Linked DNA regions of Cricetulus griseus. The protein of the gene in region 7 interacts with the protein of the main gene of each other region in a biochemical or structural test. Links are inferred from orthologs where the notes say so. Each region holds a gene or a part of one and is shown on either strand. Other genes may lie near its edges.

What was found.
Region 1: the proteins of Dlg4 (region 7) and Frmpd4 interact in a biophysical measurement, tested with the Homo sapiens proteins (2 studies listed by IntAct, with this or other methods). The link is inferred for Cricetulus griseus from reciprocal best matches to the Homo sapiens genes DLG4 and FRMPD4.
Region 2: the proteins of Dlg4 (region 7) and Kcna1 form a complex in vitro, tested with the Homo sapiens proteins (3 studies listed by BioGRID and IntAct, with this or other methods). The link is inferred for Cricetulus griseus from reciprocal best matches to the Homo sapiens genes DLG4 and KCNA1.
Region 3: the proteins of Dlg4 (region 7) and Cysltr2 interact in a biophysical measurement, tested with the Homo sapiens proteins (2 studies listed by IntAct, with this or other methods). The link is inferred for Cricetulus griseus from reciprocal best matches to the Homo sapiens genes DLG4 and CYSLTR2.
Region 4: the proteins of Dlg4 (region 7) and corticotropin-releasing factor receptor 1 form a complex in vitro, tested with the Homo sapiens proteins (2 studies listed by BioGRID and IntAct, with this or other methods). The link is inferred for Cricetulus griseus from reciprocal best matches to the Homo sapiens genes DLG4 and CRHR1.
Region 5: the proteins of Dlg4 (region 7) and Lrp2 form a complex in vitro, tested with the Homo sapiens proteins (2 studies listed by BioGRID and IntAct, with this or other methods). The link is inferred for Cricetulus griseus from reciprocal best matches to the Homo sapiens genes DLG4 and LRP2.
Region 6: the proteins of Dlg4 (region 7) and Gucy1a2 interact in a test that uses a peptide from one of them, tested with the Homo sapiens proteins (2 studies listed by IntAct, with this or other methods). The link is inferred for Cricetulus griseus from reciprocal best matches to the Homo sapiens genes DLG4 and GUCY1A2.

What each region holds. Positions count from the first base shown.
Region 1 is NC_048604.1:102,254,691-102,258,951, reverse strand, and holds part of Frmpd4 (FERM and PDZ domain-containing protein 4), read left to right. Parts: intron 1-3,169; coding exon 3,170-3,301; intron 3,302-4,261. UniProt on the Homo sapiens protein: Positive regulator of dendritic spine morphogenesis and density. Required for the maintenance of excitatory synaptic transmission. Binds phosphatidylinositol 4,5-bisphosphate.
Region 2 is NC_048601.1:19,842,328-19,846,534, reverse strand, and holds Kcna1 (potassium voltage-gated channel subfamily A member 1), read right to left. Parts: upstream 2,523-4,207; coding exon 1,035-2,522; downstream 1-1,034. UniProt on the Homo sapiens protein: Voltage-gated potassium channel that mediates transmembrane potassium transport in excitable membranes, primarily in the brain and the central nervous system, but also in the kidney.
Region 3 is NW_023276807.1:227,541,366-227,546,397, forward strand, and holds the start of Cysltr2 (cysteinyl leukotriene receptor 2), read right to left. Parts: upstream 3,223-5,032; 5' UTR 2,854-3,222; intron 1-2,853. UniProt on the Homo sapiens protein: Receptor for cysteinyl leukotrienes. The response is mediated via a G-protein that activates a phosphatidylinositol-calcium second messenger system.
Region 4 is NC_048600.1:117,208,634-117,212,830, reverse strand, and holds the end of corticotropin-releasing factor receptor 1, read right to left. Parts: intron 3,635-4,197; coding exon 3,562-3,634; intron 3,214-3,561; coding exon 3,128-3,213; intron 2,926-3,127; coding exon 2,790-2,925; intron 2,604-2,789; coding exon 2,562-2,603; intron 2,088-2,561; coding exon 1,947-2,087; 3' UTR 1,070-1,946; downstream 1-1,069.
Region 5 is NC_048599.1:105,764,015-105,768,275, reverse strand, and holds part of Lrp2 (low-density lipoprotein receptor-related protein 2), read right to left. Parts: intron 3,578-4,261; coding exon 3,487-3,577; intron 2,770-3,486; coding exon 2,702-2,769; intron 2,564-2,701; coding exon 2,446-2,563; intron 1,947-2,445; coding exon 1,817-1,946; intron 1,092-1,816; coding exon 990-1,091; intron 1-989. UniProt on the Homo sapiens protein: Multiligand endocytic receptor. Acts together with CUBN to mediate endocytosis of high-density lipoproteins. Mediates receptor-mediated uptake of polybasic drugs such as aprotinin, aminoglycosides and polymyxin B.
Region 6 is NC_048597.1:118,403,086-118,407,346, reverse strand, and holds part of Gucy1a2 (guanylate cyclase soluble subunit alpha-2), read right to left. Parts: intron 4,109-4,261; coding exon 3,390-4,108; intron 1-3,389. UniProt on the Homo sapiens protein: Has guanylyl cyclase on binding to the beta-1 subunit. Isoform 2 acts as a negative regulator of guanylyl cyclase activity as it forms non-functional heterodimers with the beta subunits.
Region 7 is NC_048600.1:83,875,036-83,879,296, reverse strand, and holds part of Dlg4 (disks large homolog 4), read right to left. Parts: intron 1,000-4,261; coding exon 946-999; intron 804-945; coding exon 744-803; intron 564-743; coding exon 439-563; intron 148-438; coding exon 1-147. UniProt on the Homo sapiens protein: Postsynaptic scaffolding protein that plays a critical role in synaptogenesis and synaptic plasticity by providing a platform for the postsynaptic clustering of crucial synaptic proteins.

The DNA.
Region 1 (4,261 bases), on a different chromosome or scaffold from region 7:
GCAAGCAGCTGGGTTTAAATTGCCTTAAATACATGGTGATTCAGTAGGCAGTAGAAGGCACAATATTAGTAGATGGGTGTAGGAGCACTAAGTCATCCTTAATTGTCCCAGATGAAATACTAATTCCCTTCATATAAGATTACTACTTTGAAATGGTGACAGCTGATGAACTGGTTTTTTTCTTTTTTCCTATTCAATACCAATGTATGATAGAAGATTGTTGATCCAATAATCAATCAACTAAAAGGGGAGTCAGCAAATTCTTTCTGGAAAGAACAGTAACCATTTTGTGCTTTGAGGCCATCCGTTGTCCACAGGAATTATGGGATTATTTTATCGCACCAGGAAAAGAGCCACAGAGAGGTGGTATTGAGAGGTCCTCTGGATAACCTTTTGGGTGAATGATCTTCTTGAAGAACACCTAGAACTCAATTATTTGTCCTCTCACATTCTAGTTCATTATAGCAGAGGGTGAAATGTTGGATTCAAGAAGGGAAGTCAGCCCATAGGACAGCTTCCAAAGTCATGGATACCTACAGGCAGTGTTATAGTCTCCCAGAAATGATATAACGCTATACACATAGATTACAAAAAACTCCCCTTTGTATTGGTATCCAGATATTTTATTGGAGATTGGTCACTTAGATACAGCTGACAAATTACATGCCTGGACTTAGTGCCTTGGCCCTCTAGAAGTCAAGTTGATAGTGCATGCCCAAGACTATTTGTGGCCTACTGTTAGCAAAGACTGTCTGCTATGGTCCAGGGTTTTAGAGACAGCATAATGACTCCTGACAGGCAGACCACTGAAGAGCTAAGAGGTCCTTTCCCAAGAGTGACACAGCAGAGCCACATCTTTCCTTAGGTAATGCTAATCCATCCCTGAACACACTTTATGTGAGCAAATGAGAATGACCAGTTGGACCCATGGACTGTTGTTTTTAGGCCCCGGAACCCATGCACAAAAAGTATATTACTGTGAATCTCTCTGCCCTTATGGACTTATTCTGTGTTCTCAATTGCTCTGGTCTTTGCTATTACACTTTCTACCTCCACTTGAGGACATGCTAAAACTTGAGTACATTTCTTACCAGAAACGACTTAAACTGAAGAAAAGTTCTATTGTTCATTCCTTTTGGCTTCTTTATTATAGCAACTCACACTAGACTTAGTTTGATTTCCTGGTGGATTGCAGGTAACAATGAGGAAGCTAGGGACTGTGCAAAGAGTTCACACAAATTTCAAGTGATCTTATCTTGTACCTAACAGCCTTGTTAGCACAACAGACACTGGTTGGTGGCATAAAATAGAAATAGTACAGTTATGAAAGGAAGGTGATAACTGCTGAATACATTTTGCCAAACTCTCATTACGGAGTAATAATATGGAGCAACTATCAGGGTCATTTCCACTATCCAATCCCCAGGGTTTACAAAACTGTGTTCATGTAGTCATACAAAGCCTGGGTTGTGTTTATCTTTCATGGATTTTGTGCAAAAAAAAAAACTATAAAGCAGGAAATAGTTTAGATCACTTTCAACACAATCAAGTAATTTTGGTTGAACAGTTATTCTTTGGGGCTGGTATTTGTGGATTTTGTCTTAATGGGGCCTGAAGGAATGGCAAAAGGGCATAAAGTAGACTCAAATAGTACAACACTCCATCAAAAACCAACTTCATATATGGGAAGGTTTTTCTACCTTAGCAACCAACTATTGTGGTTTTGGAATAGATGATTATTTGCCGTGGCTGTCCTGTGCATTGTTAAGACACTTAGCAGCATCCCTACTCTCCACCTACCCAATACCAATGACATCCCCAAACCTGCTATGACAACCAAAGGATGTCTCCCAAAATATCCAAATGTTGCTATAGGACATCATTTTCCCCCATTGAGAAGCCCTTATGTACAGTACTTTGAGAACTTGACTAAAAATTATCTTGATGAGGGATCATTTACTACTTTCAAATCTGTGAACAAATGAAAGGCTGCAGAGACTAGCTGTGCCTTGCAGTACAGCCTTTATTTGTGTACTCAACACTTTTGACTATAAATGTTTAATCCTATAAAAGATTGCAGACATAGCATGCTCATTTCACCTTCCCCAGGGATGTAGAATAAACATATACTGTTGTGGTGGTGCTCTCTGTGTAAATGGCATTATAATAAATGTTTTGTAAGTATGAATGCATGTGATTCCTATATCAATTCCAAGGAATTACATGTAGGGAAACTGAGATACTTAGAGGTTAAATAACTACCCAGTGCTGCAGAGATTATAAGCGTGAGGACTGGAATTAGAGACTAGAATTTTCTCAGGAGCTTCACCCCTACCATGGTGTTCTATCAGAAGAGGAGACCAGGGTCAGCATACTATTTGGGGGCAGAACTGAAATGCTGGCTATTTCAGGCATCTCAGGCTCAATGCTGTTCATGCAGTGTGTGGGAAATAAATCAACCATGAACGATAAAGAGATGGGTTGACTCTGTTACAATAAAACATTATTTACAAAATGGGTCGTGGGCTAGATTTGGCACATAGGCCATACTTTACTAGTCCATGGAATAGAACACTTTGAGAGCTGGTTTGATTGTTTCTCACTTTAAAAAGAGGAGACTGAAACTAGCCCTCCATCTGTTTAAAAAAAAACTTTCTAATTTAGAACCTTGCACAGGGCTGCAGACATTGCTGAATGGTTAAGAGCATTGACTGTTCTTCCAGAGGACTTGGCTTTGATTCCTAGCACCCACATGGTAGCTCACAACTGTCTGTAACCCCAGTTCCAAGAATCTGATGCCCTCTTCTAGCATCCCTGGGCACCAAGCATGTAAGTGCTGCATATCACATATGCAGGCAAAACACCCATACATGTTAACATATTAACAAAAGGAACCTTATATGATCACCAAACTCCTCTTCCAGCTGTTTGCCTTACCTCTCATATTTGAACTCCATAAAAAGTAGAAACCAGAAAGGGCCAAGGAGAAGAAAGCCTCAATTCTGGGCTTTTTCACCCATAACACCATTAGATTTTAGTGCCAATTGACAGTATTCCATTACAGAATGTAAAGCCTAAATAGATGGCATACTTTCTGGCCCTGGTAGTCTGTAAAAAATAAAAGGGACTGTTGATTTTGATCTCTTCGTGTCACTGTTTGCTCTGTAAGGATGTCATCTTAACCCTGCAAGAGAAGCTGTCTATCAAAGGCATTGAACACTTCTCACTCATGCTGGAGCAGAGAACCGAAGGGGCCGGAACCAAGCTGCTGTTGCTTCATGAACAGGAGACACTCACTCAGGTCTGTAAAGTAACCCCAAGAATGATGCTGCTGGTGGAAGCAGAGCCGGTGATGTCTCAGAATGCCCTCTTCCAGTCCTCTCATTGGAGCTTCTCTATCTCCCAGGTCCTCCCTGAAGGAAGCACTTCCTTTCTAATGCATTTGACACCTCAATGAGATAACCCCCTTTTGCCAATCTGTCATAGACCTTCAGTTGCTCTTCCAGATTTGTCATTCAGAGGCCAGACAGATACTGGAATGTAGCTCTGCAGAGTGACATTTTATGTTACTGCAAATGGCATCTTTGCTTGTTTTGATCTCCAGTCTCCTCAAAATCATTAAAAACAAAATTATTCCTGAGAGTATGTAAATTAAATCAAAGTCATCTATGTTGTCTTCAGTTCTGGGTGCAGAGTTATGACTAATTTTGGAAACCTGCAATCACTACCCCAGTCCTGCCCACTATGTATATGTGATCTACCAGTGTGTCCCAATTGCTGGTTCCAAAGATGCCACCCCCATCTGTTCTCTGGGGAGACAAGCCGACTGCTTCCTGCTGCATTCAACATACCACCTTCACTTGTCTCAACTTTAACAAAGCTGAGCATCTTGCTTGAGTATCTCAGTATCCACAAAGTCCTCTTACATATGAAAGTTCAGTGAAAAGATAACTCTAGAAAGAGGGATCGAGAGGACATCATCATCTGAAGTAGAAACCTACCACCAAGGGAGTGGAAGGACAGGAAGCATTCTCATGCTAAAGTGTTTCTTGTTTGATGCATAATTCAATGTGAGTATTTGTGGAGGGGGGTTGGAGGGATAGCTCAGCAGTTAAGAACATGCACTATTCTACAGGACCCAAGTTCAATTCCCAAAACCTACATCAGGTGACTCACAACTGCCTAGAACTTCAGCTCCAGGAGATCTGACACCTCTGGCCTCTCTGGGCACCCATGCTCACCTGTACACATGTAATTAAAA
Region 2 (4,207 bases), on a different chromosome or scaffold from region 7:
GGATTCTTCCCATCTGACTAACATATGCACTTAAATACAGTACTTTAGTTGCTAAGAAAAGAGTTAATAAATGAAGGAGTGCACTTTTGGTGAATGCAAATGAAAAAGGGCCTATATTTAGAAGAGTCAATTTCAACTTAAGCTTATTCCCTATTGTCTGGGTTAACTGTCTCGGCATGCTATTATAAAATAAATGTTATCAGATTCAAACATGCTTACCATTTAACTCTTGTGCTCTTGCAATAAGGAGGGTAAGATGGTAAGTTTTTACATCCACTTCTGAAGGTCAGGGGTCAGGGTGCAGGATTAGTGAGAAAAGACCTATATTTGGATCATCTGCAGTTGAGAGAACTTAGCAGCCCTACAGATGAATCAACTTGTTTAATCAAGTTACCCTTTTCTTAGAGAATAGACTGTATTTAGGAGAATGGGGCAGATGGAAAATCCCAACAGACTGGGACCAATAACAGATGTATAAGGTGCTTTGGGAACCAGTCTTAATTAGTCTGATTTTGGTTGCCTTATATGCAATTCAGTTGATCAAAAGAAAAGCATTTGTTCACTGACCACTGAGGCTGTTACGTGTTCCACAGAGTACACTATCTGAAATGTGGTGTGCAGTGTGCAAAAATTTGAGGGTGGAGTCCCATGCAAATTTGAACTTATATTCCTAAGTGGTCATCTGATTTTTAGGTGTTCTTTTTTTAAAAAAAAAAAAGCCTATGGCAAAAGATTGGAAATATTTCAGTACAGGGAAACATGAGTCTTATTTCACATGGACTCCTTAATGGACAGCACTGAAGCCAGTTTTAGAAAATACTTTCTTTTCTCATTTTTAATAAAATGAAAATAGGGGTTTTTTTTAATGGATCTTGAAAGCCTCAGGTTTGCCACTCCCCAGATTCACAATGCAACAATGCATTGACAGTTAAATAAAGCATTCAAAGACTAATGTTTAGTGAAGTATCTACAGAGCGGGACATGAGTCACCAGGGCTTTTGTTTGGGGCTTTTTGCTTGCTTGCCTGTTGCTTTTTAAACATCGGTCAGGAGCTTGCTCTTATTAACGCAGTTTTGGTCAGCTGTGGTGCAGTTACCAGTTCTGATATTGGCCTGTCTGTAATGGGCTATGCTATTGTTCATATCCTCTTCGATTTCCATGTACTCAGATTTGCTGATAGTAGAGGAGCTGCGGCGGCTGAGGTCACTGTCAGAGGCTAAGTTAGGAGAGCTAACGTGGAGCAACTGAGCCTGCTCTTCCCCCTCAGTTTCTCGGTGGTAGAAATAGTTGAAATTGGACACAATGACAGGTACGGGCAGGGCAATTGTCAGCACACCAGCGATGGCACACAAGGAGCCCACGATCTTGCCTCCAATTGTCACAGGGTACATGTCACCGTATCCCACAGTGGTCATGGACACCACCGCCCACCAGAAAGCATCGGGGATACTGGAAAAGTGCGACTCAGCTTCTTCCGCCTCGGCAAAGTACACTGCACTAGAAAACAGGATGACCCCAATGAAGAGGAAAAAGATGAGCAGCCCTAACTCCCTCATGCTAGCTTTGAGGGTCTGGCCCAGGATCTGGAGGCCCTTAGAGTGGCGAGAGAGTTTGAAGATTCTGAACACCCTTACCAAGCGGATGACCCTGAGGATGGCCAGGGAAGTGGCCTGCTCGCCTTTCTGATTCCCCTCCTGCTCAGCTATCTCCGTGCCCAGGGTAATGAAATAAGGAATGATGGCCACGATGTCAATGAAGTTCATGATGTTCTTAAAGAAGTCCGTCTTGCTGGGGCAGGCAAAGAAGCGCACCACCAGCTCGAAAGAGAACCAGATGATACATAAGGTCTCCACAATGAAGAAGGGGTCTGTGAAGATGTTGGAAGTATAGATGACTGTGGTGTTGTCGATGCGGTGGATGGTGCCCGTGAAGTCCTTGTCATCCTTCAGCTCAGGGAGAGTCTCCAGGCAAAAGATGACTATGGAGATGAGGATGACCATGACCGATACAATGGCGATAACCCTGGCAGGCCCTGAGCTCTCCGGATACTCAAAGAGCAGCCACACCTGGCGCTGGTACTCCTTCTCAGGTAGGGGGCGCTCCTCTTCCTTGATGAAGCCCTCATCTTCCCGGAACTTCTCCATGGCCTCCTCGCCCAACTCGTAAAATTTGATCTCCTCGGAGAACATGTCCAGGGGCACGTTGACCGGCCTGCGCAGGCGGCCCCCTGACTGGTAATAATAAAGGATGGCATCAAAGCTGGGCCGGTTGCGGTCAAAGAAGTACTCGTTCCTTAGGGGGTCGAAGTAGCGCATGCGTTTCTTTGGGTTGCCCAGCAGCGTGTTGGGGAACTGTGCCAGGGTCTTGAGCTGCGTCTCGAAGCGTAGCCCGGAGATGTTGATCACCACGCGTTCGCAGCATTCGTGGTCGTCGTGGTCCGCCTGCCGTGGGTAGCTGCCATCCTGGGGGTGACCCGGAGCGGCCGAAGCCTCGTCCGCATTCTCCCCCGACATCACCGTCATGATGGAAGCAGAGTGCAGGGGTGGGAGGCCAGGAGAGAGCCCGGGGTGTGAAGGAGCGAAGGAAGAGGGGTGGGGGGGACCCAACCGGCCCCCCCACCGGAGAGTGAGTCTCCCCCACGCTCACGGGGAGGGGCTTCGGGGCCAGAAGGTTCAGAGGTCTGCAACTTTGCTAGTTACCACCTCCCCCTCCTCCACTCTGCCTTTTACCCAATTTGGAAAGCCCTCTCGCCTGAGGGCCCCCAGTGAGGCTTTTTCGAGAGGTTTGGGTTTTGGGGGTGTGCTCTGTTTTTGGGGTTGGTGGGTTTTTTTCTTCCTGCTCTGACTGCCTTAACGCACACCTGCCATCTCTCCGGGGCTCGCCAATGCACCCCTCCCCTCCTGCAGCCTTCCTAGGACCCGGTGCAGTGCCAACTCAGCAGATCCCCACGCCTGTCACCCCCTTTGCTGCTCCTTGGCTCTCCCCCCCTACCCCTCTTCGCCTGCCGCCTTCTAAGCTCCCACGGGGCGATCGATGGACGCTGCAGAGAAATAAAAAGTGATACCAGGGTAGAAAATCAGAAGCATTCCTATGGGACGAACCTATAGACACCGAAGAGCACAGACGACTAGCTTTTGTAGAACACACCGGACTTTTACTGGGGTTAACACACACGCACAGACAGACACACAACAGACACCCAGAAATCCAAGTTTGGAAATCTTCCATCCCACTTTCCCCCCCTGCCCAGCAGCCGATTCGTTTACAACTTCGTTAAAAACTGGAGATCGGAAAAGCGCTTAGAGATGCTGGGGGAGCTCCGGGTCCTGGGCAGCAACTTCTCACCCTCAACCTCCCCCACCCTGTCATCCTAACCTCGGATTCTGCAGCCCCGGAACTGTGGAGCTCCCTACCTGGCGGGCCGGCTTGGCGCAGGGGCGGTGCTGAGTCGGCGGCGGAGAGTCGGAATGCGGCAGGTCTCCTTTGCAGCAGTCGGAGCGAGCCACCTCCACAGCAGCATCCGAGAGGCACTGGGCCCCTCGTGGTCCGCGTCCTTCTCCTCTCAGGGGTCCGATCGTTTTACTGAGCAGCTATGGAGGAAATGTCCGTTCCCTGCCCCCATCCTCACATGGTGCAGGCAACCTGGGGGCTCGGTCCTCTCTCCGCTGCAGAGAGTTCCGGAGGATGCGGGATGGAAAAGCAAAAAGGCCACCCTCTCCCGAGTCACCCAAGCAAATGGCGATAAGCAGCACTCTCGCCCCCTCTGAACACTACAGGAGCCCTTGATTCGATCCCGAGAGAGGCAGGCGGCCCAAAGCCTGGCTCTACATGGCTATCGGGTCTCCGCACCACCGCACGGACCTCGCTCTGCAGCGCGCCGGGAGCCTTCAGCAGATCGGAGTGGAGTAGGGAGCATGCGGCCGCAGGTCCGCTCGGTCCATTTCTGGGCGCTGCAAGATCAGCAGAAACCTGAGAAAGCGCCTGGAATGCGGAGCAGCGATTGGCCCACCAGGGCGTGGGTTGGGGAGGGCGGGGGAGGGCAGGAGCGAGGAGGTAGATGGAAAATATGAGGGGGTGGTTTGGCAGAGGGGGGTTGTCATTCAGTTCCCATCCTTGCCAGCATAGCTTTTCTTCTTTTTCCCTCCTCTCCTCCTCGAAAAGCCCACCACCAACTCCTCTTCCTCGGTGGCCCGCAGCCCCGCCCACG
Region 3 (5,032 bases), on a different chromosome or scaffold from region 7:
TGAGCTTACCGGAAAGAATCTGCTTTCTCAAACAAGGTAAAGGAGAGGTTAGGGCAGTCTCTGCAGGATCATTTAAGAAGATTTTATGTGGGAAAGAGACTTTTTTATTTTTTTTCAAGAAATAAATAATATCAAGAAGAGAATTAACGATGGATTAAGCTTTTACATTTTCTCTGTTTAATTAATATTTTCGTTGCCAAAATGGGCAGCCTCCCCTTCCCTGTCCCTTGTCTCTCTCCTCCTTCTTGCTCTTCCTCTAGTAGGCTCCCAACCCATTTATCTATCAGTTTTGAGACAGTGTTTCAAGTTGTCAAATGTGACCTAGTACCCCTGATTGCCCCTCCCCCACAGTGTGAGATGACCAGCATGTACCACCAAAGCCCAGTGTATGTGGCACTGGGGATCAAACCCCAGGCTTCCTGCATCCTAGGCAAGCTGATACATTAGCCAAAGTTCTGGGTAGCTGCATTATCCCTTATGAGTCTTTTCCTCTATAAGCTTGCTCTTGGGGACCAGCATGTCTTTAATGCCTTCTGTTCAGGACAAACAAGAAAAGCAGGCCAGATCCTGGGGTCTGGAATACACAAGGTAATGGGTATTAACAATTCCTGAGCTGATGCTGACCCAGAGTAATGAGTCCCATCCTGTGGAGGGAGGAGGTCCTCTCAGGTGCCAGGTAGATAGAGTCTCAATTTTTCAAGTCTCAACTCTGCTTTTCTGTCATTTCACCCCTCTAAACTTTAAAACCTTCATCTGCTGAGGGAGTGAGAGTAAACGAAGAGGATGAGAGCAGCCCAATCAGCTCTGTGCCTGACATACCAAGTGTGTTGTCCACATTAGCCACAACTACAACACAACATGTAACAATCATAGGCAAAACTCAGAACCGAATACAAGGCTTCTTTCTAGTCAATTGGAAAAAAGAGTTGGGGCCACTTTATCGGGAGTGTGAACCAGACAGACACAGTCAATTCTATTCAATTCTGTTTAGTTTACTTTTGTTTTTGTTGCATTGCTATATTAAATTAAGGTGGCAAAAAGATATTAAGCTGAGTTGTGGAAATGACAAGTTTTATCAGTTAGACAAGTCTAAAATTCTGTACATACACTTCTTTTTCTCTTTTTCTAAATACAGATAAGGATTTTGAAAAAAAGAGAGAGAGCATGTTATAATGCTATTTTGTATCCTGCTTTTTCTTGCCACTGAGACATGGTCATCTCTTTTTTTTCTAAGTGATATAGTGCCAATGCCATCATTTAACTATATAATAATATACAGATGTAACAAAATTCATTTAATCAATTTCATAAAATAGTTATTATTGGGGTTGTATGGATGTAGCCATATATTCTAGACTCATCAGTTTGGTTCTAACTTGGGAAATATCCTACAATCCCAGGGCTTCATTTCTGCCATCTCAAAAATGAGAAATACCCTCTCTATAGATAAAGATTGTTCCACAGGTCAAATGAACAGACATATGAAAACATGTTTCTATATGGTAAAGTGCTACATAAATGCTTGTGCTTATCAAAGATGCTAAACAGACACTCTCCTCCATGGGATGAAAACAAGAAGATATTTGTTTGACACGCTATTGATCAAATTAAGGTCAAGTATATGCCTGTGGGAAGCTCATAGCACAGGCAGAACTGCTTCAGCCTGATTTAGGTGCCGTTATCTGTCCAGTCTTTTGATATGAAGTCAGTCTGTTTTATTCTTAGGGGGACATTGGGGTCCAATGAAAATAATTTCTTTTGGAAAGCAGGGTGAACCATTAGATCAGTCTTGGCCACCTGCTGTATCTTCGGTGTGCTTGTAAATGGCCAGATATTAAATGTCCATCTCTTGACTGACTTTGAAAAGTTATACAAAGAAAGGAAGTTGGGCTACCTTGGCAGGTACTAGTGCCCACCGGGCTTAATGTTAACATATTTAGAGCCTTCTAAATCCTCAACTTCTCCCACAACTACCTTCCCAAGCCATAGAAACAAATCTACTTCCTTCAAACATTAATTAATTGAAGCTTTCAAATAGGTTCTAATCTCAGGAGTTGAAGTAGACAACGGAAATTTCTAAAGTTCTTATATGCCCCACAAATTAGCTCTCTAAGTTAGATTACTTACATAGTAAAAGAGAGACTTGCCTTTAATTGCATCTCATTTCCCCACCATTATTACTCTCAGGTATGTGGTATCGACAAGAAGGTTTTTCAAACAACCATTTCTTTAAGAACAGACCATTTATTAATAACAACTGAGAAGTAATAGCAAACAAAACCCATTAAAGACTGGTTAATACCAGGAAACCAGGTTTAAGCTGTTTGAGGCATTGTTCTCTAATCTGCTGAGATGCAGGCAATTCTGACTGAGGTGCAGCCCCAGCTGAAAAACCAAGATGGGTGCTCCAAAACAAACCGATTCCAGCACACGTGTTCATGTTCACTGCACCTCTGAACAAAACCACTGAAATCTACCTTCTCAAATACAATCCTCTTCCAAAAGCAAGACTTTTGAGTAGAAAAAAAAAAAAGCCTTATGGGATAAAATGACCAAAGGAGGGAAAATATCAATGCCTTATATAGCAATCGCAATTGTGGCTCTGCAGAATTCATGGCAGCATGGATAAGGCACAAGGTTTACTGGAAGGAGTGAACATAAACGTGTTTGTATTTTACAGATGCAGCTATGAAAGGAAGCTAAAATCATATGCACAAGCCAAAAACAAAAACAAAAAAACATATGTGGTAGAACTGATAGTTGAACAAATTAAGCTTACATTCCACACGTCATTCCTGTAGGAGCCATCAAAGCACAATTCTGAGTGACAAATGAACAAACGGTACAACCCACCTGTGTGCTTCCTTCTGCGCCCGGCCTCCTCCCGCTTGCCCTGCCTTCCGACTCTGCCCTCTCTCCTGGCTGTCTCCCCATACGATGCAGCTTGTTCATTTAAAGCAAGAGTGAAACGGCCAACTCTGTTTTATGAACAGTGTTAGCCAATAGCAAGAAAAGAAGGAACTTGGGTCAGCAGGTCCTCAGCTTGGTGGCAGGATCGTGGGAATGAATGCTGGCTTCCTTCTTTGGAAGGCAGAGAATTTCCAGCTAGTGACCATCGTACCAAGTCACCCTGGAATTATCGTCCTCTAATGACTCTTGATGTTTTTGTTGTTGGGATTTCTTTTCTTTTCTTCTTACCTTTCTTCCTTCCTTCCTTCCTTCCTTCCTTCCTTCCTTCCTTCCTTTCTTTCTTTTTTCTTTTAATCAGATGTGATGGGCGGGGGGGGGGGGGGGAGGGGGGGAGTTAAGTGGCTTTTATTTCCGAAAGGGTTTCTGTTTCCATGACAAGCCCATCAACTCCGCTTTTCACACTCAGCCCTGCCGACAGCTTTAGATAAAGCACTTTCACTACCCTCTGGCTTTCCCGTGCACTCTGGCAAAGGCCTTACTCACTCTGCTAAAAAGTCTCTGTGAAGGCCGCCACTGGTCTCATTGCTCCTGTAATGTGTTACTCTTGCTTGAACAGTTAACTGTGGAAACTCTGTCACCATATTTCTCAATCCACCTGGCTTTTTTCCCAACTTTCAGCCTGATTCTCCTTTGCCTCCTGGACTGCTTGAATGAGAAATTCCCAGTTTCATCCCCCGTTCTGTATTTCACCTCCTGATTCAGCCTCTCTGGCTTCTTCATTCCCATCATGCAGTTCTTCTCCTCCTACCTACCTACACACACACACACACACACACACACACACACACACACACACACACACACACACACACACACTACTCCTGTTAGCTCAACCTCCAACTTGAGCCAGCAATCCCTGGGACCCTGCCTTCCTATATACAAGTGACAGATGGACTGAGAAAGAAATCAGGGAAACAACACCTTTCACAATCATCTCAAATAATATAAAATATCTTGGCATAACTCTAACCAGACAAGTGGAAGACTTGTGTGATAAGAGCTTTAAAACACTGAAGAAAAAAATTGAAGATGGGAAGATCTCCCATTCTCACCAATCAGTAGGATTAATACAGTAAAAATATCCATCTTGCCAAAACCAATCTGCAGATTCAGTGCAATCATAATCAAAATTTCAACACAATTCAAAAATCTTGATAGGGCAATTTTTGCTTTATATGGAAACACACACACACACACACACACACACACACACACACACACACACACACCAGAATAGCTAAAACAATCCTGAATAATAAAACAACTACTGCAGGTGTCATTATTCTCAACCTCCTCAAACTGTACTACAGAGCTATAGTAAAATAAACAATATGGTATTGGCATAAAAGTATACATGTTGATTAATGGAATCAAACTGAAGATGCAGACATAAATCCACACACTTATGGATACCTTATTTTGGATGAAGAAGTCATAAATATAATGGGGGAAAAGACAACATCTTTAATGAATGGTGCCGGTCAAACTGGATGGCTACAGATCCAAACAGGGTCCACACTTTTATCACCCTGCACAAAATTCACATATACTGAGCCTGATAGAAGAGAAAGTAAGGAATAGTCTTGAGCTCAACAGTACAGGAAAAAACTCTGTGAACAGAACATTGGCAGCACAGACACTACAATCAACAATTAATAAAGGGGACCTCATGAAACTGAAAAACTGTGTGGCAAAGCCTGCTTGGGGCTGGTTACAGGTGTGCCTGGCCACACCCACTTGGGCATGGTCAGGGTGATGTGAGGAAGGTTTAAAAGTGAGGGACAGGCACGTGGGGAGCCCCTTCTTCTGCTTACCTTTCTCCCTGCTGGCTGGCTAGGCTGAGTAAGTAGGATTCTCCTACATAAATATCCTTATAGCTATACCTGACTCCGTATTGCTATTTCACTTTACCCTGTCATTTGGACAAAGCAGGAGGCTACAGAATGGGAAAAGATTTTTTTTTACCAACTATATATATCAGATAGAGGACTAATATCCAAAATATATAAAGAACTAAAAGACTAGACAGCAACAAATGAAATATTCCAATTTTTAAAAATTG
Region 4 (4,197 bases), about 33 Mb from region 7:
GCACACTTCTGTTTGGGTAATTGGTAGGGACTGCACGTGTCCTGCAATAATACACCACCTCCTCCATCAATACCCCTCGGCTCAGCAGGAACTATGGAGCTACAGCCATCTCAGTCTACTCCTGGCATCTCATGCTACACACCCTTGTATGCAACTGTGTGCACGTGTGTGTGCATTCATAGGCAACCTTCCTCCCTGACCAGAGACCCATAGGCATGTCCCAGGTGGCACCGGGACCCTCACAGGAATTCAACCAGGCTCCTCTGTGCTTACAAGGCACATGCTGGCTTCCAGAGGGCTGCAGTATGCTGCATCTGACAAATCTGTGACCACATGGATGTGGCCAATAAAGGGAAACTGATGTCCCTTGTGAGCAGATCAAATCAGTGAACAATGGATGACAGGAGTTGGTGGATAAGTGTCCCAACTCCGCTCCCTCGCCTCGTGCTCCAGGATCCTCAGCAAACCAAAGTTCCAGCTGCCTGCCCTGGTGCTTGCATGCCGTCTGACCTTTCCCTTTCTCTCCCTGCTTGAGGACCCACCTCTGGTCCTGCCTTGAGATGCCCTGGCAACCACATCTCCATGAGTGCTTCTGGGAAGCCTCCAGCTCCACTGGCTGCTCAGCTTCCTAACTGCTGCCTGACTCTCTTCCATGGAACTGGAGCCCGCTTCTGCCTGGCCTCATTGTTACAGTTCTTGTCTGGCTGTCCCGGCCATGGTAACCTATGACCCTTCTCTCCAGGTCTCACCGCCTTACCAAGAGCTGTTTCTTACTCAGCATCTTTGATCACACCCATATCTTCATGTCTGGAGTTCATACCCTGCCTCCAGCCCCTGGGCTCATACTGGATGGCACGAGTGAGACCAGGCTTCCTGCCATGCAGTAGTCCCTGCTGGCTACTTCTCGGGGAGCTCCCCTCAGGCTTACTCCCAGCCCCAGCAGAGTGCAAGCCTTCACAAAAGTAATTGAAAAGATAAATATTATTTATATCAACCCCCCCCCACTTCAATCCTGCTATGGCTCCTCAGCCCTCTGACACAGTGAGGGCTGGGCCATTCCATGCCGGGGAGTAAGGGGTCTGTCAGTTGTCCCAGGAACCACCTGCCCCAATTCAGGGCACTTGAACAGAGGACCCTTCTTGCTTCACTCAGCCTGTGAGCATGTTCCAGAGGCCAGCCAATGAAGCCAGTGGCCTGGGCACCTAAGTGCTACTATTTCCTCAAAAGCTGGGTTCACTCCGATTCTCCCTCACAGGCAACTCAGTCCCCTTCCAACCCCCATCTTCTCACAAATCAGAAGACACCCAGAGGCAGGAGGTGATAGGATTTCACGGTGAGAGTACTGTTGCTGTCAGTGTGTTAAGTGACAGAAAGCTGGCTTGGCCTGCAGAATAGTAAATGACCAAGGGTGCAAGGCAGCAAGGCAGGGCTTTCCAGTGGCTGTGCCACGGTGCTGATGACATTCTGGTGGCTCAGGAGTGGCTTCTAGGGCGGTGGAGTGCTGTCTGATGATGTCATGAGATTTCTAACGCTATCTCCAGGTCTCCGGACCGGACAACGTGACACTGATTCTCAGTAGCATCCAAAGACTTGGAGGCTTCACAATCACAGAAGAAGAGTTTCCCATGATGCCCCGGGGTAGCAAGTGGCCTCTCTACAACTGCTGGAGACTAAGATCTTCAGTGTACTTCTCTGGGAGAAGACAGCTCTCACAGGGCCCATTAAACCGCTGCAGGATTTCTAACCCCCAATCTCCATTTCCCCTCTCCAAGAAGAATAGGCAGCAGGAAGCCAGATGCCGTGGGCCCAGTCCAGTGCTATGAGCTCTCAGGTCTGCAGCCCAGGGGTAGGAATGGGATGGCCGATTGCCTCTGCAGATAGGCTCGCCTGTGAGCTTGTGTCATTTCCCCAGCTCCAGGTCCGGGGACTGCTCTGAGGTCTGTAGCTCACACTGCTGTGGACTGTTTGATGCTGTGGAAGCTGACTCTGGTGGGTGAGGTGGGGATGGACATGGCACGGGCCACCCGGGCTCTGATCGAGTGCTTGTCCTGCCACCGATGCCACCTCTTCCGGATAGCAGAGCGGACCTGTGGGCACAAGGTAACGCATCAGAGCTCAGGCTTAGGGCACTGCCCCCAGCTACCAGGTGTAGCAACAGGATCTACAGTAGGTGGTGACACGCACGTAATTACTACTATTGGTTTGCTATTTGTTAAGCCAGTTTTTTTTTTTTTTTTTTTTTTTTTTTGTGAGAAAGGAACACCTTTTTCTAGTCTAACAAATGTACCACCTGGCCTTTGCCACACAGAATCTCTACCTTGCCTGACTCCTCCCTCACTGAGACCCTATCTACCAGCCAGCATGCCCACCCCTGACATGCCTAAAGTCAGAGGGGGAGCTGTCCTCACAGGTGCAGATCAGCAGGGACAGGGACTTCTCAAAGTTCCCTGCAGCAACCCATGGGGACCTGGGAAGAGGGACGGAAGCCACCCTAGGGCAGAAGAGACATGAGGGGACAGTTCCCAATCTTGGTAGGCTCAGCCATGGCCTTAGGTCCTTACCTCACTGTTCAGAAAACAGTAGAACACAGACACGAAGAAGCCCTGAAGGGAAGAGGGGAGTCAGAGGGGAGTCAGAGGGGAATGGGGTCCTACCAGCCCAGGTTGCCCCAGCCCACAATCCTCCAGGCCTCTGTCAGAAGGATCCTCACCCATGCAGGCACAAATATAGTCCATGCCCCACCTCCCCATCCTGAGCTGGACTGGCAAGGCTCAGGAAGATGGTAGTACCTGAAAGGACTCCAGAAAAGAGTTGAAGTAGATGAAGACGACCCTGGAGACCTCATCCTCTCCAGGGTTGACAAAGAATAACATGTAGGTGATGCCCAGGAGGGGCAGCAGCACCAGAGTGGCTTTCACAGCCTTCCTAAGGTAGGAGAAAGGCCAGAGTCACAGGCTACCCAGGAGGGGTGGGGCTGCTAGCTCTGGGGAGAGTGATGGGTTTGGGAGATGGTTTCAGGGATGTCTGGGAAGGTGGAGCGGCTGTTTCGGGGTTGACCGACTGGCTTGGAAGAGATCTGGTTCAGAGGAGGCTGGACCCTCTGAAGTAGCCATCGGGAGCCAGGTACCTGTACTGAATAGTCTCAGACGTGGTGGATGCCCGGAGTTTGGTCATGAGGATGCGGACAATGTTGAAGAGAAAGATAAAGTTGATCTGCAATTGGAGCACACCAGCAGGAGTGAGGACGATTGGCAGGGGTGGGGATGGGTACCAGGGATGGGCACACGTGTCAGGGATGGATGCAGGAAATGGAGGTGGGTGGGGTGGACAGGACAGGCCCTCAGTCCTCTCAGCTCTGCTCTTGGTGTTCCTGCTACGCTCGCTCACCCCTCCCTCACTTCTCTCTCCCTCTCCCATTCTTTCTTCCTCCTTCCCACTCTCAGCAACACCCACAAACTCCCAGCAGAGCTGTCTCTGGGGACACCTAGGTAGATTATTCATGGCAGGCAGACTGTCCCTCTCCACGGTGGCTCGTCTCCTGTTACCTCCCCAGGCTCTTACCAGCAGGACCAGGATCATGGGGCCCTGGTAGATGTAGTCAGTGTACACTCCAGGACGTTTGCCAAACCAGCACCTAGAAGGCCCAGAAGGAAAAGGAAGGGAGGGGTCAGCAGGATCCATTAAGTGGCACAGTGCTTGATCATAGGGCAATGCCTGGCCACAGCAGGATCAATGCCAGTGGCCAGAAAAGGGCACCCCAGCTTCCAAGAAACCCAAGCCAGCAGACTCTGCTTCACTGCCTCAGTGATCTTATCAGCAAAGAGGATGGTGCCCTCTGCCATGGTCCTATCTACCTGCAAAGTGCATGGTATCCTCCACTGTGGGATGTTGGCCTAACTACTGCAAAGGGGTTGGTACCCTCTGTCGTGGGATGTGGTCCTATCTATCTGCAAAGGTGATGGTATCCTCTGCCGTGGGATGTCCTTTCTGTAAAGTGGATTGTACCCTCTGCTGTGGAAAATGAAATTGGAGTAAACTCTGTGAAGAGAAGGCCTCCCAGAGGCCATCACCCTCATCCACGCAGTTTTGACTATTTGTAAGAGACCCTCAGGATGGAACCAACTGTTGACATTCCCTCATAGAAAGGGGAAGTAGGGAGAGAGGGGTTGCCTGAGATTCCAGCCATTGCCTCCTATG
Region 5 (4,261 bases), on a different chromosome or scaffold from region 7:
ATATGCATTACAGGGAAGATAATATACTCCCTTTTTTTGCATTTTACATCCACTATTTTGTTTCTTCTTAAACTTGTATGTGTTTGTATACACTCCTCCTTTTATTTCATGTGAAAATACCAGATGAAATTTCATCTCTGCTCCATGATGCACTATCAAGGAGCAGGTAAGAGTTTTTCAAGATCCAAACATTTTTGCTCTTAAAAAAGCTATTTTTGAGCCAGGCAGTGGTGGCACACACCTTTAGTCCCAGAACTGGGGAGGTAAGGTAAGGCAGATCTATGAGTTCAAGGACAGCCTGGTTCCAGGACAGCCATGGAGAAACCCAGTCTTGAAAAACCAAAATCAAAACAAAACACAAAAGCTATTTTTGAAAGAAACATTTCTATCATATAATATTAAAGTATACCAATACTGAATTTGAAAGAAATCTAGTCACTGACAAATACTGAAGGCTATTTGCTGTAGCTACTTAGAAAAAGGAGGCACAGGTCAAGTCTAAAGGTGGCATGGGCTGTTAGTCCAGACTAATGAAAAGCATGTTGTCTGTCTCTTCTCCCAGTTTCTCTTAATACAGAGCAATAGTAAGCCTTTGCCAAGCAAATCTTAATTTCTGACTTCTGTGCAGTACAGGTCATCTTCCTGCTCAGATTGTGTCCTTGGGACACCTATCTCCTTCTTACTCATTTCTGACATAGTTCCCTGTGTCTGTCATAGAACCCTGTGTCTCCTGCATCTCTAATAGACTCATACCCCTTGCTAAGACTGATTCAGAATGACTGAGCACAGAGAACACCCCCAGCAAAGTCTCTGCTAAGACACAGTGCTCTAACTTTTTGCAGGGCTGTAAACTAGGGCAGCTTCATGACTGTGGACAGGGAATCTGAGATGAAGGTCACTGTGTTTCATCCCTTTAGGAGGGCAGGTTAGAGGCAAACATTCTGAACACGGGAAGATTCAATGGCAACAAAGGCAGAAAGACATCTCACCTGAGCTGCCAGGGCTGCTTTGGAAGTGCTGTCCTTAGCTGCATATGTTGGATTCTCAAATACCACAGGCTGCTTCCCCACCTCCATGATGAAGTTTTCGTTCTGGTGGGGAGGAGACAGAGAGGTCACACCCACTGATACCAGACAGAAAGGTGTCTCCCTCATACCTGGATGCCTACCACACTTTCACAAAGTCACCCAAATAGGAGGTCTTAGAGAGGCTGGGGGAAAGATAGCAGCAGCAGAGACCCATTGTAGCAACCCACTGTTTCAGCTAATAAATAATGAGCCACGCCATTTGCCCTGGAAAACACAAATACTCTTTCCACAGCTGAATTCTCTATGGTTCTCTAACGTATGTAACCCACTGTGGTCAGAACAGTGGAGAAAAGGATGCGTGGTAGAAAAGGACAGGAAGGTAGGCAACCGGGGAATATTGTTCTTTCAGGCAGGTGTGGGGATGGAAGATTGGAGGTGGAGACAAAGCATTAGGAGTGGGTTTTCAGATTACAGAAAGGCCCTGCTGGGCCACAGCTGTGCTAGGCTCATCCCTGAGTGTGCCACCTGCTGCTCATAAGCGGCAGGCACGTCCCTATTCTACACAAGAGGCCAGAAGGACCAGAAAAGGTCAGCCCTTGACTATCTATAAATAAATACTTAGATGGTAGAGTCATAGTTTCCACCAACTCTATATGGCCTACAGAGGACAGACTGTGTTTCTTTATTTTAATATCCCCCAGGGTTAGTTTTGTTCCTTATAAGAAGGGTTTCTTCCATAAGTTACTGTAAAGGAAAACTTCAAATAGTCACATGGAAGACCCACTCACCATTGCCATTGATCTATCAATAACTGTCTCCGGGCCAAAAGGAGAAACACCAATGTCCATGCTAACATCAGCCCCTGATCTGAAAGTCACCCCATTTCCATTTTCAGAGGGTTTCGCAAGGCTGCTTAAACTGGAATGAACCAAAACAATGTTGTGTTAGTCGGGTGGTGGTGGCACATGCCTTTAATCCCAGTGCTTAGGAGGCAGGGGCAGGTGGATCTCTATGAGACCAGCCTGGTCTACAAGAGCTACTTCCAGGACAGCCTCCAAAGCCACAGAGAAAGCCTGTCTCAAAAAAAACAAACGAACAAAAGATATGTTGTGTACACATGTCAAAAACACAGCAGCGCTGGGCTGCTGTTTTTAATCCCAGCACTCGGGAGGCAGAGACAGGCAGATCTCTGTGAATTCGAGGCCAGCCTTTCTACAGAGAAAGAGCCAGGACAGGCTCCAAAGCTACACAGAGAAACCCTGTCTCGAAAAACCAAAAAACACTGCAGCAAGCCCAACCCTCACCACCACCCCCACCCCCGTCTACCTGAACACACAAAAGCACAATCCCAGATACAACATCAGAACAAGAAACAGAGGTCACTTGTAGAAAGCCAAGCCAACACACAGAAACTGACCTTGGCAGCTTGGGCAGAGTGGGTAAAAGGGTGCCAGTTTTTCTGTAGTGAAAAAATCCAAGGAGTATCAGAGCCCCAATGATGATGATGATCAGGAATGTCAACAGCACAGCCATTGCTGCACAGGGGACAGAAACAGAGAGTCAACATCACCACATGACCAGGAGGGCTAGAGCGGCTAGAGCCCATGAGCCTGGGGCAAAAGGAAGATGGAGGGCCGTGACTATTGCAGGTCACCCATATTCTGGACACTTACTTGTCCCTGGAGGGATGCCTCTTGAGAGCCCAACCTCACAGTATTCTCCGTTGTAGCCACTAGAACACCTAGAAGCAAGAGGAGACTACTTAGTCACCTTCTAGAGGCTCCTAGTGCTGTGGCCAGTGAAATGCATGAGGAACAGGCGATGCAGCCGGCATCACAGCTGCTTCTCCTGCCAGCCTAAAAGCACTGCTCTGTCCGATTCCAGAAATTCACTTATGGTGGAGTGGCATCTATGAGGGTCAGCCTCACAAATAAGGCTTCTTTGCACTTCTTCCTTAGAGAGAATTGATAGGCACGGTGGCAGCATTCCATCCTCCAACAGCTTTCGGGAAAGCGACCATTCCTCTTGTTCTGTGGTGAAGGTTTCCCACAGGCTAGTCTGCTTGTCATAAGCCTTGTATTGAAGCATCTATCTCTCCTGTCAGTTGCCCTTCCGTGCTCCTTCCTAAGCCATCATCCCAGGTGAGGTGGGAGGTGGCATAGGGAGACACACTGCTATCCTTTCTTTCACTCCTTGCCCTTCCTTGTGACTCTGCCATTCCATTCAAATGCACATAGGCATTTGAGCCAGATCCTCAGCCAAGGCTTATGCCAGGTACGGTTTGGGAAACATGGCCTCACCTTCTGCAGACTCCCCCAAAGGAGGACAAGCTGGTTAGACATGGAAACGGAAACGGTGAATTGGGCAAGCTTCCTGCACTTGTTTCCCCAGCTATAAAGAGCTCGGGTTCCCTAGAAGAGCCAAGGCCTACAACTGGGACCTCAAGAGTCAGACTTACTTGCATTTGGGGAGGTCATTCTCATCAAAATAGCAATTTCCTCCGTGCATGCATCTGCATGGGGGAGGCATGATGACGGGAAGTTCGATGGCTGCAGAAAGGAAGAGCCATGCATGGGTTAGTCAGCCACAGGCAAGCAGAGCACTACACCATGCAAAACCTGCCCAGGACTGAGGCGGGAGGGGTAAAGGGGATGTCGGGCCTCCCTGCTGAGTTATCACCTGTTCCCAAAGGCAAATGAACTTCCTAAACAATGGTGAGATCCTGGGGAGTGATAGATAGAAACTTCAGAGTACTTTCTTCCTCTAAGCAGTGAGGTTAAACCCAGAGTATATATTGTGTCACCCGAAATCCCCCAGATTCTCTTCTGGGAACCATTAGAACCAAGAGTTTCATTTAGACACAGCTTGAAACTGCAACCCAGGACTCCAGATCATCAGCAGAGGACCAGGCAAGTGGCAGACACACAGACACAGATAGATGGGAAAGCAGCTGAGGGAAATCTAGCCACTGGATTACTGCACCTGATTCACCCCCGGCATACCACCTGGATGATTTCTTTACCACATGTGTGCTTTATTTGATGAGTTTGTCTACTGTCTCTACTCAGAGTTCCTTTCATCAGAGAGGCTAGGCAAGCCAATCATGCCCGCCCTGTGCCTACTGCATGTACTTTAGCCACCTGTCCTATTACATACTTACAGGGTTCCTGGCTTATTATCCTACTAGCAAGTAAGCTCAATGAGAGAAGGGATTTGCCTGTTTTACTCACTTC
Region 6 (4,261 bases), on a different chromosome or scaffold from region 7:
CCCAGTAGCTTTTGTTCTTTTTGTTCCCCGTGGAACTAGTTATAGAAATCTCAGGTAGTTCTCCAATACCATGTCTGCTATCATGTCAACATGGTTCCCTGCCATGACAAAAATGTCCTAAACTTCTGAAACTGTAAGCCAGATCTGATCAAATATTTTCCTTTATAAGAGTTTCAATGGTCATGGTGTCTCTTCATAAGCATAGCACACTGACTAAGGTATCATGTTACCTATTTTTAATGATCAACCTATGATAAGCAAAGAAAATAATTAAAAGGATGTTGTGCTTTAAAAAAAAGATGAAAACAGGAATGTTGCTACCCTTACGGTTCCATAATGCACATGGGAGGATCAAGTCCATACTGTGTCTCATCAAATCACCCATGTGCATCTTAAAACTCAGCCATACACTTAGCCTGTGACTAAGAATGTAAAATGATAAAGACCATGGTTTATCCAAAGCATTTTAGTTAAATTTAAAAATGGTTTACCATCATTGGCATAAGATTAACTGTTGGCCTCATCTTTTTAATAGCAGTTGATGGTTCAATACTATCTAGTGCATAGTGTGAAGAGTAGTTTCTTATTAAACATGAATAAAGAAACAGAGGCTCCAGGTACATGGGGTCATGTATCAAGGATAGCTTTTATGAGGAAATACTTCATATCAAGGTCAAACTTAAGAAAATCCCATAATTTTGAGGTCTGATTTTCTTTCTTCTTAGCATATTTGAAAAAAAGTATACAGGGTATTGGGTGACATACTAATTCAAAAAGTTATTCATGGTTCAAGATGCCATTAACTGAGGAATTTTCAACTGGAGACAAGTGTAGTGTCACAAATTCCTCATTAGGGCAAATATGAGTGAATGAGCAAGAATGTAAATATAAGGTTGAACAGATTATTATCTCATTCGAAGTAAAAATCCCACCATCACATTATTTTTAAACCATCGCCAACATGTTTAAATGATAATTGCATCCTCTCAATGAGCACAGTTCCTTATTATTGGAATTGGCAGGGGGCCCTGACATTTGAGTCATCATCTCATTATGTCTATTTCTTATCTTAGTACACAAATTAAATAGAAACCCAGTCAGTCCCAGTGAAATTTGGGAGAAGGATGAGCAGTAACCTTAAATTGCAGGGTTTTTTCCCCTTAAATCTGTAGGGTATATAAAGAAATTAACATATGTAATAATATCTCATTCAGGCAATTTTAAAAAGGCTGGCTTTTATTTTAAGGCCAAAAATGCTTCAAAATCTCAAGCCAAATATTGAAGTTGTACAAAACAAAACTGACAGTTTCAGTATTCTCTAAATGTAAAAGCTAGAATAATTATAGGTTTAAAAAGCAACTACAGCTGGGTGGTGGCCCTCCTTTAATCCTAGCACCCAGGCAACAAGGGCAAGCAGATCTCTGTTCCTGTGAGGCCAGCTTGATCTAAAGAGCAAGCTCCAGGACTACCACAACTACACAGAGAACTCTACCTCAAAGACACAACAAAATAAATAAAAAGTGCTACCAATGTAGCAAAAATATACATTTTACAAGTTTCTCCCATTCTGAAACAGTTTCAGAATGTACAGAGATTATGAAACATATAACACACATCTTAAAATATTAATAAAATTCCTTTATATGATCAAGTAGGACAAATAATAAAAGTAAGTTTTAAAATTAAGCGTTGAAATGTGCTATGTGGGAACCCAAGTCTGCCCTCAAGTGATTTTAAATCATTGGATTTGCATGTCAAAATTTTTACTGGTGAATTGTCTAGATCACTTGATTTAGCAAATTGAAATAGATGTACATTGTTCTCAAATGTCTTTTTAAAATTCTTCTATTAAAAGTCCAAGATTATAAAATTAATCAATTATAAATCTCTTTAATAGACCATCAGTTATGGTTCCCTGAAGCCATTCTTCTTTCACTTATCATTGAAGACACTTCATAATATGGATGGTGTTAAGTTTCAAATCCAGGACAAATGGCTGAAGTGCATATTTAACAAATCAAAGCTGGACTTGGCATGACTTTTCCCAGCATCCCTCAAATCCCTACCTGTTACATAGTATGGCCCACATACCATGCCCTCTACCCTGAACTCCCCAGCCCAAGGGCTATGCTACCCTTCCCTGAGAGGTCTTCCCTATATAATCCACACATTTAGGTTATCTGCCATCTTTTGGACCTATGACCTCATGACTGCTGCACCAGATCCCACTCTTTCTCCCTCTCTTCCCCTTTGTCCCCCCCCAAGGCTTATCTCACTGTGGTCATGTCCACTCTGGGCTCCCCCAGAAATCCCTATTCTGCTTATACTCTCCCACATATCTATAATAAACTTTCCCCTCTGCCATACATAGGAGCAGTCACATCCTTTCCTTCCATTTTTATTTCATGAGTTGTTCAGTTAGATTATTAATTTATTCAGGTTTTCTTTCTGCCATTTTTCTCCTCGTTCATTCTAAAAATCAGCAGCTTCTCAAACCACTTACTGTTATGATAAAGCATGTGGGAGAACTTGGTGGATTTCATGGTGGAAATGGTTACTGAGGTGGGGAACAAACATTCCAGGCAGACAAAGTTAAGTGAGAAATTTTATTAGAAAGTGGAGAGGAAAGGAAATGGGAAAGATATAAAGACACAGAGACACAGAGACAGAGAGAAGAGAAGAGGGAGACAGGAGAAATCCTGTCTGCCCCAGGGGAACAGAGGGTAAGAACACAAGTGGTTAGGGTCTTTCTTTTAAAGGGATCATTTGCACCTGCCTGCACACTACATAACCATGGAACCCTGGGCTTGCTAGGGTACTGCCTGAGTGATTTTTTTTCAGGTGACAGGGGCAGGCCAGCACAGTGCCTGAATCCTTACATTTAGAATCCAGAGGAATAGTCTAAAATTTGAACACTAAAATTTAATTAGTCCATATCCAACATTGGGAGAATACATTTTTTTCTTTCTTTTGGCACACACACATGGCATAAATGGAGTGTTCCAAGACTGTGAAATTTAAGAGATCCTAATAAAATACAGCAGGCTATTCTCTTTGTTTACTTAAAGATTTCTCTAACTGACTTTTCCATGGAAACATTCAAGGGTTTATAATGTTAGAATTTTATTGAGTCCTATCATTTTGTAATTTCTGTGGCTGGTATTAATAAGTTTCTTTCTTTTATGTGCTGAAATAAATTAACAAATGAGGCAGACACTATGTAAAAGGACTGGGAATACAGCCAAATCTTTCTACATGCATCCAGAGATGGGAAATCTTCTGAAGCTCTCTTGTCTAAATAATTACAACTACAGCCAGCATGTAATTTATTGAAATAATTACCTATTCTACTAGATCCCATCATTTATCTGGAATCTATGGCTACTTACCTTGTCTTTATTCTCAGTACAAGAAGCTTCAGGCTTGGTTCTTATCACAAATGGGGTGGAGAGTCGCAGCAAGACCCTTTCAAATGTGGCATTAACCTTTGGAGAGACTATCTCAAAGCAGTCTTCAAACTTCAACACTTTGTGAGTGTCACATCGAAGTTGCTTCCTTAGGCCCTCCCCCAGCTGAAGAACCGCCATGGTGGGGTCAAACATCAAATGGAATGGGAAGGCTCTGCAGAAGGTGTTGATGCTAATTCTGAGATCTGCAGGAACTTGGGAAGTACCTTGTGGAATATTCTTTGGGATGTGAAGAGTTTCGCATTCTTTGATAAGGAAAGAAATACAGTTGCAATTGCTTGGGTTTGAACCATCAGAGCACAACTTTTCATTTTCAATTTGCTCCACTTCCACATTCAAATGATAGATTCTTTTTCCTGCAGCCTTAATCATTCCCAGCATTGCAAACCCCACAGTATGGTGAGGATGGAAGTAATGCAGCATGAGAGTACCTTCAGGAAGCTCTTTGCATAGGAAAGATGGTGACTCCAGAGTGGCCTGTTTCCCAAAAGAAGTTCTAATGTGTTCCAACAATGCATCAAAGCCATTGAAGAAGTCCTGCAATGTGCCACCCACAGCTCGAAGGACTCTCTCATTCTCATCAAAGCATATCTTAAAGAATTCCTCACCAAATCTTTCTTGAATTTCCTGGAACTTCAGACCTAAAGAAAAAGGAGAATAAAAATGTTAGTTAACATGGACTACAAGGAATGGAACATATAGCTTTCAAGATTCTCATCTAAAGAGGAAGCAATTGAGAACTGGAGAGATGGTTTAGTGATTAAGAGTATGAAATACTCCCAAAGAGAATCTGA
Region 7 (4,261 bases):
ATCTCCATGACCTTCTCAGCTGGGGGTTTCCGGCGCATGACATAGAGACGAACGATGGAACCTGCTTCTTTGAGGGCCTCTACCGCAGCTGAATGGGTCACCTCCCGAACATCCACTTCATTCACAAAAAGGATGCTGTCATTGACCCTGGGAACAATAATACAGGTCTAAGCCAGGAGTTTCCTACTGCCCAGCCCTCCCTTTCCAGGTACTAGCTTTCTTCCTTTCTTTCTTTCTTTCTTTCTTTCTTTCTTTCTTTCTTTCTTTCTTTTTGAGACAGTAATTCTCCTGGCTGTTCTGGAACTCCCTCTGTAGACCAGGCTGGCCTCGAACTCACAGAGATCCACCCGCCTCTGCCCCCCAAGTGCTGAGATTAAAAGCATGGGACACCAACTCCCAGCAAGTACTAGCTTTCTAAGCCCTGTCTTCTCTCCCAACCTGAGGCGGCCATCCTGGGCTGCAGCCCCACCAGGAATGATCTTGGTGATGAAAATGGATGGGTCGTCACCAATGTGCGGGTTGTCAGTACCACCTGCGATGCTGAAGCCCAGACCTGAGTTACCCTGGGAAGAAGGAGGATAAGAGGGTCAACATCCCTTACTGCCTAATTCTATTAAGGGATGCAAGAAGGGGACAGGATTAGAAAGGAGCAGCTAGAATACACAGGGACACAGTTAAGGGTCTGGACCCTAGAAACACCAGCCCAGAGCCAAGGGACTTTGAATGGAGGGGTTAGTTCTCACCCTTTCCAATGTGATCTCCTCGTATTCCATCTCCCCCTCTGTCCCGTTCACCTGCAACTCCAGCACGGGACAGAAACACAAAAACAGTGAGACAGACATTCTGGCCAGAGAACATGCCCCTCCATCCCCATTCAGGGACTCATTCCCTTCCTCTCTCCTACCCTTCTGCTATGGCCCCAGATCCAAAATCTAAACTACTCACATATCCTGGGGCTTCTAGGGTATCCGTGTTGACAATCACAGGGGGAGAATTGGCCTGAGAGGAGACAGAAGACAAAAAGCTACCTAAGCCTTAACTCCAGGGGAAGTCCATAACCAAAAGTGGGTCCAACCAATCTGGATCTCCTTTTAGCTGTATAGTCAAGCCACACCTTAGGGCAACTCTAAAGGACCCAGCCTGTCTACATTACACACACATGCATGCACTCACTCGTGTACATACACACACACACACACACACACACACACACACACACAGACACCATATGCACGCATGCACACACAACTCTGCCCAACCCAGGCCCCTGTATGTTTAAAGAGGTGTATGAGAAGAGGGAAGAGAGAGACAGCCAGACGGAGAGGGGAGCAGCAGATGGTAAAGAATGGGGAAAGGGGGAGCATGCTGGGGGGGTTGCTTCTCACCGGATGTAACACTACAGGGTGCTACATGCATTACGTGCTACGCGTTACACCCCAGGGTTCAGGTCCACTAGGTCCTGCTCTCCTCTTTGGGGTCCCCTTCCTGTCTCTATATCCTAACAATCAACCCAGATATCTTGATAACCCTCCCCCAAATTTGTCCCTCACCTTGGCACACATTTGCTCTAAATCTTGCGCCATGAGAATCCGGGGTTTCCCCAGCTTCTGGTCCCTCCCTCTCTCTCACCCACCCGCCATCCAATCCACCCCTTCCTCCAGGGACCAGGTTGCCTAGCAACGGTATCTAAGACCAGCCAAGACCTGGGGAGACCCACCTCCAGGAGGCCTGGTAGTCAGGACAACGGGTGGGGGGCGTGGCCTAGGGTACGACAGACTCCCTAGAGCAAAAGACTGGATGAGTCCTCTCCGGCTTTGGACCCGCCCACCGTTAGCCGGGCCAAGAGGCCAGAACGATTCTATTCCTGGGCGTGGGCGCAGCGCATCCTGAATAACCTGCCTTCCTCTCTCCTTTGAGCCCCTCACCCTACGCAGTGCAGAGAACGTCAGGAAGGAGAAATGGTAAAAGGCATCCAGAACCTAGCCTGTTCTACTGCCCCCACTTCATTAAGGAAAGGGTTAAAGCGAGGCGTGCCCTGGTCCCTGACGTCAGTGGCCTCTACTTTGCAGCCGGGTCTCTAGCTAAACTGCAGGGCGGGGACAGCTTTAGACTTGTCCTAGGGGCTTCCCCAATTGCCAGGGCAACCGAAGCCACCGTCTCTATAGCAATGAGGTGAGGCTGCCAAGAGACTCCTTCCGGGGGTCCCCAATCTATTTCCTCCTTAGACAAATACTTGAAACCGATCAAGTACGAGGATTCCCATTCCCTTCCTAAGTTCTCCCTCTCCTATAAAGGTCCCTCTTCTCCCTTACTGCTATTTCTCAAATCCAGAAACTCTGAACCATTTCAGGCCCCTTAATAGATTTCATACCCGTGAATCAACTGTCATCTCCACCACCACCACCACCACCCCCGGCCCCAAGCGAACGCTGTTGTCTAGCCGATCGTAGCACACATCCTCAGACCCACCCTTAGACTACAACCTCTCCCCGCACCCAGTCCCTAACGATTCTTTATCTCTACTGTCATCCCACACCCTCCCTAAGTTTGCCAAAATATTCCAACCCCAGTTACCATTCTCCACCCACTTCCCTGTCCCCATAGCAGACTTGAGCTCTATCCCTTCTCTTTCCTATCCTCGCCTGTCACCTCTCTGAAGAGAGAGGGCACCTCATTATCCCCCTTTACCTCATCTGCAACCCCTTAAGGTCCTAGCTCCAAATAACACCCTCCACTTCCCAACCCACTCCCCAACTCTGGATATTGGAGCATCTCCTGTCCCTTGGCCGAAGCCCTGTCCTGAGACTTCCCACCTTCACTTACCGCCTCTCCTAGCCACTCCCTGAGCCTTTGCATTGTACCGCTACTACCCTCAGCACCGGTCTCCTCCCCACCCCAGACATAAAGGCCTCATCTTGCAAAAGGCACCTAGAACCTTCCTTCACCCCCTCAAGTCACACACACACACAAATATTCTGCACTGTGCCCGTTTCCAGTGCTTCATTTTCCTCCCACCAAGCAGCTTATTGAGCCCCAATTTCCGTCTTACCCCCATGCCTTAAGACCCCTGCCTTCCTGCTTTTCTCTATTCCTCCCTTTGCCACTTTTAGCCTCAGAGACTGCTACAGCCACTTTCCTGCCTCATCCCTGGTTCACAAACCTTCTCCCATCTTCTAAGTAAAATATCAGCAACTGGGGTCCCCTTCCTAAAACATCCCATATTTCTGGCCCCTCTGTGTTCTCCTCAATCCTACAGCGTGTCCCCCTATAAGAGGCAATTAAGAGAAAGGGGGCTGGGAAATGAAAGGTCTCAGAAACAAGGCCTCTCAGGCCTGGAGAAAAATAAATAAATAAATAAAAGCTGACTGTGAGCACAAAGGAGGAGGGGAAGGGGAACAGGTGGCCATATATATAACGAGGACAGGGAATGGCTGAAGAAGGAATGGGTGCAGGTGAGACCAAGAGGAGGAAAAAAGACAGATATGATCAGGGAAGAGTGAAACGGGAAAGAAATGGGCAGCTGGAGGGCAGAGAGAGAGAGAGAGAGAGGACCGACTGCTCAAACCAGGAGAGGGTTGATCAGGCCACACACAGAGGCCTGAGCTGGGGATCAGCGAGAGGGGGAAGGAGATGCATGCGTGGGAGGAAGAGAGAGACAGCATCAAGAACCAGCCAGCCAGCCAGCAGGAGGGAGGGGCACGGGAGAGGAGCAAAGGCTGGGGCACAGGAAGAGGCAGAAAGGACCAAGATTTGAAGTCTCAGTCCAGCCAGATGGAAAGAGCTGGAGACTCGGGAACAGGCAGAGCCAGGCCCAGAGGCAGAGGTTGGGGGAGGAGGTGGGGAAAGGGACAGGAGCAAATGAGGGCACCAAGCACTTGGAACAGAGCTATGGACACAGAAAACTGAAGCGGAGGCTGGGGGTGCGAAGGGATGAAGAGGGCCCTGGCACTGAGAGCACCTCTTGGGGATCCTTCATCCATCTCAACACACCAAACACACAAAAAGGCACATACATTCTGGCTTTAGGTTCTGTGCCCACTCCCACTTTCCTGGCCTATTCCTCTTCTGTGAGACCCAAGTGTTTCCAGCGACGTGTCCCCTCCCCCCATTGCCAATCAAGAAGCATACGCCCCCCCCCAGGAGCCCAAGCCCCAGATGCCAGGCCACCCCCAATCTTTTCCCCCATAGCTCTTGCCCTACCGGCCCTTGGGGATTGCTGCAGCTCCGAAGTTCCGAGGGCCCCACTGGGGAGGGGGCCGCC